3 linked regions of the Saccharomyces cerevisiae S288C genome follow. Changing the gene in region 2 together with the main gene of any one other region gives a genetic interaction. Each region holds a gene or a part of one and is shown on either strand. Other genes may lie near its edges. The genes, in order: TLG2, PKR1 and ARL1.

Region 1 (3,659 bases), on a different chromosome or scaffold from region 2:
ACAACGACTACAACCACAACAACAGCAACCACAGCAGCAATATCATCAATACAATTTATATCAAAGAACTACTCCTGCTGGTCCAGATCCTTCTAATGTTATTTTACAAAGCAATCCTTATTTCAACGTTGCCCCAAACCAAGTGCCACAGCACAGAAATCCGGTACCAGGCGTCGGTTTTGCTCCGAATCCTTTACCAAACCAAAGCCCGATAACACAAGGATATAAGCCTGCCTATAAGAGGAGAATGCAAAACAAAAACTTGCCCCGAGCTACTACTTCACTGAACAATCCTTACGGATTTAGGTAAAAAAAGAAAAATGAAGGTTCTTTTTTTTTTTTTATATTCTACAAATCACAATAACCACCAACTTGTATTAAACCATATTTTATCATCTTCAGGAACTACTTATGCACAATATTCGTTCGCCAGTCTTTACTTGCGGTTCAATTTTATCCCATATAAATTTGTATTTTATTATCATACTACATACTTTATTGAAATCATATATTAACCTTTTCACTTTTCTCAAATAGAACGAGCAACAGGTCATATGAACGCTGACTAAATCTCTCAATTTTCTTCAAAGCATATTATAGTTCAAAATCGCGATGCGGTACCGTGAAAGTTTTGTCATCAAAGTAGGTCATCCAAAGCATCATTCTCAGATTCTGTTACTTCAACGATACTCGGCAAGTTGCTCTCTTCGTCATTAATATGGGTATTACTGCCGTCATCATGACTGTTATTAACTGTTTTATTATCATCATTGTTGTACTTGTTGCTACCATTATTACGACCACCACTGCCACCGCCATGTGGTTTCAACATAACAAAGAAAAAGAGCGCTATTACGCACAATGTTAGTAATAAAATGACTTTACATTTTTGAGTTCTCTTCTGGTAGTGTGTTGCTTTATTCAACTCTTTATCTGCACTTTTTAGCTCTACCACTGTATTTTCCAGATTATAATCAATCCTGTCCACAATAGTCCCCTGGTCAACAACCAAATCTTGCATTTCCCTGAAAATAGTGCTCACTTCTAATACACCCCTTGCCAACTGAGTAATTTCTTCGTCACGTTCTCTCAAATATGCTTCTGCAGAAGTGTCATGAAGCTGTTGCTGTCTCTGCAACGTCCTTTTTGAATAGTCTTCAATATCGAGGCCCTCTCTCTTCTCTCTTGCTGCCTCCTCTTCCTCATCATCTAATAATAGCGTGTTCTCTGCACTGGCCTTATTGCGGATAGGTTTCAAATCATCCTTGTTCAAGAATTTCAAGTAATTATTTTGTAATACTCTGAACTTATTACTTTCAGTTTGTATCTTTTCTGCATAGATCTTCTGTAGATTATCTAGTATAATCAGCTCTTCTCGACTTAATTGCTTACCATCCACAAATTGAGAGTTGTATATGGTCTTTAATCGTTTCATAACAGCGTAACATTTCTGCAGCATCTGAATTACTTTGAAACTTAGATCTTCAATCAGCGCCTCATCATGACTCTTGTCTTCAAAGCCAGGTAACGAATTCTTCCTATAAACCTTCGCCAACTGCTCACTTAACCGTCTCACCTCCAGAAGATAATCATCAACATCCTGCGCTATATCAATAAATATGGGTGGTAACGCATCACTGTGATTCTCATGCTTGTTTTTTCGTTCATCTGTCAATCTGGCCGATATATCGTGAGACATATTCATCATCGGGTATGTACCCATTTCAATATCTTGATCATCGCCCAAGGGTGCTTTCCCAGATGAGAAAGTTATGTTATGAGGGAAAGTCCTACGGTATGATAAAAATAAATTAGTTCTATCTCTAAACATGTTTGTAACGACTGCCTAGATCACAAAGCGATAAAATGTACATCAATTGGAGACTTTCCTGTCTTGCCGTACTTATAGTCTATTCTGCTATAATCTATACGCACTCACTTTACACCTTAAAAGCCCAATACAAACCGGTCCAACAATTATAATTCATCTATAGGGCATATACAAAAAAAAAAGGTAGGTGTAAAAGATAATAAAATACAACCCTATTAGCTTTGATAAAAAATTAGTAGGGTTAGAATGTCATATGGTAGGGTGATATAAACGCGTGAACTTTACGCGTTTATATGTACTAAGTTATTTTCGGTATTAGAGAATACCATATCAACGACTAACTCTTAAGCTTTCGATTGTATGAGCTGAAGAAACGGCCTGCTCATTACCAGGATATCTCTTTTTTTTAGACATCAAACAAGAAAATAAGGAACAAGAAATTTGAGGTACAATAATGACAGAAATTATTGATTTAGACTTGGTCGATGACTTTATCAAGAAACCTATGGTCAAACAACAGAAAAACCAGTCTTCAAAGCCTAGGGTAAAAAGAAGGGGTCAGTTGACCTTTGATGATTTCAGAAACATCAAAATTGTAGAAGAACCTGTTGTACTTTCTCACAATAGTTCAATTGACGAATCACTGGATGCTGCTACCCAAAATACTAAAAAGCGGGAGAAATATGAAGGTACCTGTGATGAAGAAATGAAAACTAAAGAAATGGAGGCAAATATGGCAAGCAAATATTCTAATATCAAAACACATTCGAACGACACTAACAAGGTAGAGTCGATCAGTGAACACACTACTTCTAATAATAGACCATTGAATACATTAAACTGGTCACCAAATATTCCTTTACGATATTCTGACTTTGCAAAGTTTATGAGTGATGAGACGGTAACGGAAAGCAATTGGGCGCCTCCCCTTTGCACCCCTCTCCCATATGCAGGCGATGTTATGAAGATCCTTTCTTTTATCGTCAAATTTAAATGGGTGTTCAGCGACGATCTACTGAACCTGTCATTTCAAGATGTGGAGATAGGACTAGAATTAAAGGTGGCTGGCCATTCTGCGAAGAATATTCGAATTTGTCAGGATAAAATGAATCTACTATTTTGCAGTCTTTTGAGGTTATTATTCTGCTCCGAGAAAAGAGCAGACAACCAAACTCATAGAAATTTCACGCTAAAAAGATTTCTTAGTTTGAAAAATCCATATGGAAAACTGGTTGGCAAACTCAGAAGCTTAATCCAGGAGTGGGGCTTACCAAAAGAATGGCGTGGTAATAGTGATATTTTATCTACTCTAAATTTTAATGGAGGTGGTTTGTTGACGATGGAACCATTAGATAGAATAATATTATTGAGATGCATGATCGATTGGAATTGTAGCTACTCCGCACTTTTCCATAATGAAATTCAAAGGCTCACTCACTTGAAAGGCGATACAGGGTTCAACCATCAAACTTTTCACGCCAGCAGGTTTGCTATGTGCGGGGCCAATAACATATTAGATAGTTGTGAAGTTTTATGCTCTTTGATGAGTCAAAAGTTGGAAAATCGAAAGAAAAGGAAGCCCAGCGACAAAGGAAAACTGAGTAAGATCAATAGTCAGATGAAATTTCTAAAGGGTGTTCGGAAATCATTGAGCGAAAAAGTAACTACAGACAGATTACGAGCTGCAGTTAAAATAAATGAAGAATGGGGTGAATATTTTGCAAACGAATTTACACACACACCAATTGATGATCCCACCGTAGACGAAATTTACAAGTTAAGGACATCAGAGTTTATGATAGCGAGAATTCCACGAGTTGGAGATTTC
Region 2 (2,859 bases):
TATTCAAGAGGTTATTTCTCAATTTAACTCTAGCAGAAGACTGACCGTTTCTTGTTGCCATGGTCGATAAACCTGCATCCATTTTGAACTTTTTATAAATAGTCTTTGAGTACTTTTTATCCCACTGCTTTATCGGATCAGGCTGTACCTCTCTGCTCTTTTTGTAGGGTTATTAATAGCTCGGTGAAAATTAATGAAAGAAAGCTCCAAATTTAGCTATAGCCGTAAACTAAAAAAAAAAAAATTAGGAGGGCAGTCACTAAAACAAAAAATCAGAATTCCTATGCAATGTGCTGCTGACACAGTTACTTGAAATGCCTATTTATTCACAATTTGAAGGGTTTGCGATGCTGAAAGAGTTGTTCTATTCAGTCGCACGCGTTAACTCTTTGCATGTGCTTCATTTGTCCATAATTGAGCCCAAAATTTGATTTAAAAAAAAGGAATTTTTGAAAAAAAAAAAATATCAGGGGAGACCCTGAAGCGGACAAAAAAATTTACAATTGCGGACATTTACCCGGAAGCTCTGTGATATACTAATAACAGAGATAATTATGTAGTCAATTATGTATCTGTCTATGCTTTTCTTGACCTAGATTGTGCTTGAGTCCGTCTGGCAGTACTAGTGGATTTCCCGCTTTCTTGCTTGTCTTCGCTGTCTTCCTTGATGGCACTGTCGTCCTTTTTATTGGCATCTTTATCCAGCTCATCATTATCCTTCAATTTGACGTGTGATAATTCGTTTATAAACCAGATAACGGTAATCCATAGTAAAAGTGATATACAGAAAAGAGCATAGAAGTGGATATTCCCGTTTGTGGCATAGATGAGCCAGATGAGGGTCAGTAGTAGTGCAACAAAAGATACGTGTGTGGCGATGATCAGCTGGGGGGAGGTCCCTGGTTCAAATACACTTTCCCACAGTCTAACAAAAAAATTGGCCATTTTGAGAAATTTTCGAAGTTATATCCCTGCGATTTTTGGCACTAATCAATTAGATGGACGTGTTCTTGGATATGACAAAAAGAAAAGACCATCTCTATTTTTCTTCATTTGATTTTCAGTCAAGCAAAAAACGCCGGGTAAACGCAGTCAAAGAAAATTAAAGAACATCTGCTATACCCTACCATGTTCTTAAAATATGAATGCGCTATTCAGGTTCATAGGCAAAGTTTTCACATGTCACTCGCCAAATAAAAATCAAAATTGAAATATATAGGTAAATAGATTGATAAAAAGACGTAATTAATCACCTGTACATCTTCAATTGGAGTTTCTGAGACACCGATATCTAGGACGAAAGAAACAACGGTAAATGATGATACCGTGCTTCGAGCAGACAGGGTCAGTAATCATACCAACAGAAAAATTCTCTTTGGTATAAGTAACGGTGTTACTGCCGGAAATACTCCCGAGAAAAACAGAACCTTCACTGGTTTTAATATTCACCTCAATGTAAGTGATGGTCTGACTTTGCCCTTATAATTAGCAGCAGCAGGAGTGGCGACACCAGAGATTAGGCACTAGTGAGGAGAAGAGATAGTCTGACTGGCCATTTTAGTTAATGGATATATAGTTTCCCATCTATTGAAAGGAGTGGAAACTATAACTGAAAACTGGGTTCTTGAGCAGGAATACTGCTTGTATACTTTTCTTGTATTTCACTGCTTCCTGTCCGATGCGCTAGCACGATGGAGCTCGGCAAAGAAAGACAGAGGAGAGAAACATCCTGAGGATTTTGCTTTGTGCAGAAAAGGTTCCATCCCTGCAATAAGGGTCCTCTTTGCTGCGGAAATTCGAAGAAACGAGATAACCATCCTGGGTTGTAGCGACCTCATCACCACCTAGACCCCTCGGTATGCAGCCAAAATCCATTTGTGTTTGCCTAAGGCACGGAATGGGAAATAAAGTATTTTAGATTGCATACGCATTTTCCCTCTGGGTAGGGAGTTGGTAAAAAAAAAATAGACAGAGTAGATTCGTAATAACTTAAATGGCTAAAGCGTGGGTACATCAGTGCAAACAAATACGATATTACCGTACCAATTGCACACTTCTTGGTAAGAAAAACTGGGAGCACACCTTACCCATAAAAAAGTGCATCGTTATTCCCATGGATAGGAAGAATAAGAATATATCACTCCTGCCTCCAGAATAGTAAATCTGTTTTCTCAGTAAATTATCCCTTTGAAACCTTACTGGATTTGGCTGTCATTGGTCGTAATTGCCCACAATTGAGGTTGCATTCTAAATGTTTCTTCCAATCAAAAATCAGTTAGATAAGTACCTTGGATGCCATTACATCGGGAAGCCCCTTTACTCAGAAGCCCGTTAGTTTCTTGAGTACTCCGATATAATTCCCCTATTTCTACAAATGCTACATAAAAAAATGCTGTGAATAAAGTCGCTAACAACAACTACTTATCGTGACTTGTCTAAAAAAAAAAAAACCTACATTTCAGAGTTAAAATAAATCTAAAGGTGCCACTGGAAAGAGTTATATGCGAGCTCCAGGTTCATATTCAAAAACATGACATCTTACTTTCTCTCGCGGTTGTGACCTCCTTCAATGAATTTGATATTGCTAACCAACAATCATCAATATTTTTGTTTTACCCGTCTTCTCGTTTTCTGAACGTGACACTAGCAATGTCAGACGTTCATTCTCACTTTCTGTCACGTGCTCGCATTGCGAGCAAAAAAAGCCTTACCACCACTCGATTAATCTAATGAGTTGCTGTATTAATAAATAAATTTTTATATTAAAATATATTATAGGAAACATGCAATGGCCCAATTGGCCTAAATATATATAACTCCCACAAGTTCGCCCACCTCTTCATTGGTTTAACTAGGCGT
Region 3 (2,732 bases), on a different chromosome or scaffold from region 2:
ACTGGGAACCCATGCCCATGATTCTGCAATGGTTTGGTTTGGTGGCAGAGATATGCATCCAATTGAGCCTACTCAAAAAAACTTCAACACATACTGTAAGTTTTGTGACTACAGACACGTTTGTTCTTGGAAAAATAAAAATGAATTGAAACTTATTGATCTAGGGAAAGAATTAAAAAAAATTATTCTTGAATCAAGTATGAAGTAGTGTAGGTATTGTAACATTATTTATTCTAGTTATTAAAAGGGTGTTGTTTCGTGAATACATTGAAGTCCTTTATTGGGTTATTAAGCACATAAATCTGTTTCTGCTTTCGGACGTCCTGTTTCAATAAATCGGAATTGAAATGACAATTTAATTTAAATGTATATATGCAACTTTCATTAAGAGGTCATTAGGTATTTTAATGCGGCCTTCTCATTCATCGGAACGATGTAATTGCCTTTAGAATTAAAACCCAAAGAGAAACATGTATACACTTACTAACTCTATTATGTTTGGATAGAGCTCCTTGATAATTCAGTTACAAAACAAATTATATGTATATTCAATGCCATTTAAAAAGTATGCATCTACACTTTTTTTTTGCAAATCTTTATCGCTATAACTGTTCCTCTTTTATAACATCAATCAACCAATCTAAACCTTCGGTAATACCTTCGCCTTTAATTGCACTGGATGCTACGATAGACCAACTTCTGTCCTTCAATTCTACAAGATTCAGTTCTTTGGAGACTTCACTGGCACTTAATGCACCCGGTTGGTCTTGTTTATTTGCAAAAACCAGCAGTGCTGCATCTTGCAATTCTTCTTCCTGTAACATCAAATGAAGTTCCTTAGAGGCTGTAGACATACGATCTTTATCAGTCGAATCAACAACGAAAATAACTGCAGCAGTGTCTGCATAATAACACCTCCAGTAGGGCCTGATACTTGTTTGACCACCAAGATCCCAGACGTTCAATTTTAAGTTTTTATAACTTAGCGTCTCTACATTGAAACCAATGGTTGGCTTTGTAGTGACTACTTCGCCAATTTGTAAACGATATAAGATGGTAGTTTTACCTGCACCATCCAAACCCAAAATCAATATACGCAATTCTTTGTTTGAACCCCATAGTTTGTCAAACATTGAACTAAAAATGTTACCCATCTTGATCTATAACTCACTTTACTGGAACTTTCTTCTTAGATCTTTCTTTATTTTTCCTTTGGTTTTAGAAACCTTATTACTCACCGTTTCGTAAATACAAATGAACCACGCAATCCTTTACTACTTGAAAGTTCCGAGAACATTCTGCCTAATATTAATTGTCGTAAATCTAACTTTTATAGGCAAAATAGTTTTATTCAAAATTTCAATTGGAAAGGGCTCTGTTACCCGTCCTGTACGATGCAGTGGGTTTTGTTATTGTCATAAGAAATATTTAACCTACTCTTCCCATATATATCATAGAACACATTCTTAGTATGTTTTGAGAGCATCAATCTAACGTTGCCTTTGTCGTGATTTTGTGCGAGGAGGCGATATAAGAGCTAAACAGATTTTTTTATATTTTAATCAAAAAGCTAATAATTATGGCTTACTCTTTAACAAGGAAATTGCTGAAGGATTGGAAATATTTTATGCGCCATCCTGAGAAGACCCAAGGTCTTTTTCATGTAAGGCCACATGATTCAGACTTACATCTTTGGCACGTGGTAATGTACGAGCCCAGGACTTCTTTGGAAGTATATCTACTACTTTATATTGGCGGAAACGACCAGGATCCATATATCATCATGAAATGTCTGTCTCCAAATTGTTGCTTTCCAATTAACAGAACGGTTTCGATGACACACTTAAACTATCTTTTATTGAAAGACTTGGGATTACAGGATTTACTTTTCCACATATGGCAACCGCTTTTTCATATTCAAGCAACGGAAGACTTACAGTATTCACCGTCAACGGTAAAATTCAACAGGGCGTGGAATAGGATTATATATAAGGACTTTAAATCTTATTTTCCGGAACTGATAGGTACTTTACAACCAGGTGATTACTCTATAGTAAAGAGCTATTCCAAAAATCATAATATCAGCAATAGTAATGGTGGCAGTGTCAATGAATTTATGTCCTCTTACAATGCTCAAAGCCACACCTTTCACGCACAAGACAACAGCAAGAACCCTTATACTAACAGCAGCATAGGAAAGTCTAGTATGTTATCTACTCTCAACAATAATAACGTTAACAAAAGGACACATGACTACAATGCTATCGACTTTATGACCAAAAACTTACTTGCATGTGATGATGACAGTATTCATCCGGTCGTAAGTTCTAAAAGGTCAAGAACGTTGGCATGTCCAGATGAAACGAACGATAATCGCGGTAGTGAGCATTACACAAAGAGGAAAAAAATCTAATGGGTTTATTTTTACATAGAATAGTAGAACTTTCTTCCTTTTTTCACGATTTTTTGCATGGGCATTTGTCACAATATATATTTTTATTCAGTTATATAAATATACTCCTTTTCACAAAAGAAGGCCTAATATTATAGGAAATCAGCATTAAAAACATTATGTATTTCTTTTTTCAGCGGCCGAACGGTCACTAGAATGACTCAGAATGGTTTTTATCATCTCGTTGCCAATGAGATTAGCCTCTGGAAGCATTGGCTCAAAGAACTTTTGAACACTCTGAAATTGCTTTTTGTATATATCAAAATTGGCAAAAGAAACA

The links.
Region 1: mutations in PKR1 (region 2) and TLG2 together harm fitness more than expected from each alone (negative genetic interaction), as found in Saccharomyces cerevisiae (5 studies listed by BioGRID, with this or other methods).
Region 3: mutations in PKR1 (region 2) and ARL1 together harm fitness more than expected from each alone (negative genetic interaction), as found in Saccharomyces cerevisiae (5 studies listed by BioGRID, with this or other methods).

The regions. Positions count from the first base shown.
Region 1 is NC_001147.6:290,244-293,902, forward strand, and holds TLG2 (t-SNARE syntaxin TLG2), read right to left. Parts: upstream 1,832-3,659; coding exon 638-1,831; downstream 1-637. Other genes in the region: TOS7 (Tos7p), read left to right, coding at 1-310; ESC8 (Esc8p), read left to right, coding at 2,286-3,659. UniProt on the Saccharomyces cerevisiae protein: t-SNARE that functions in transport from the endosome to the late Golgi and on the endocytic pathway.
Region 2 is NC_001145.3:511,679-514,537, reverse strand, and holds PKR1 (Pkr1p), read right to left. Parts: upstream 946-2,859; coding exon 577-945; downstream 1-576. Other genes in the region: EPO1 (Epo1p), read right to left, coding at 1-82. UniProt on the Saccharomyces cerevisiae protein: Functions together with the other V-type ATPase assembly factors in the endoplasmic reticulum to efficiently assemble the V-type ATPase membrane sector V(0).
Region 3 is NC_001134.8:567,273-570,004, forward strand, and holds ARL1 (Arf family GTPase ARL1), read right to left. Parts: upstream 1,155-2,732; coding exon 603-1,154; downstream 1-602. Other genes in the region: EXO5 (Exo5p), read left to right, coding at 1-208; UBS1 (Ubs1p), read left to right, coding at 1,580-2,413; TYR1 (prephenate dehydrogenase (NADP(+))), read right to left, coding at 2,570-2,732. UniProt on the Saccharomyces cerevisiae protein: Recruits golgins such as IMH1 to the Golgi. Can bind and hydrolyze GTP. May be involved in trafficking events within the endosomal system.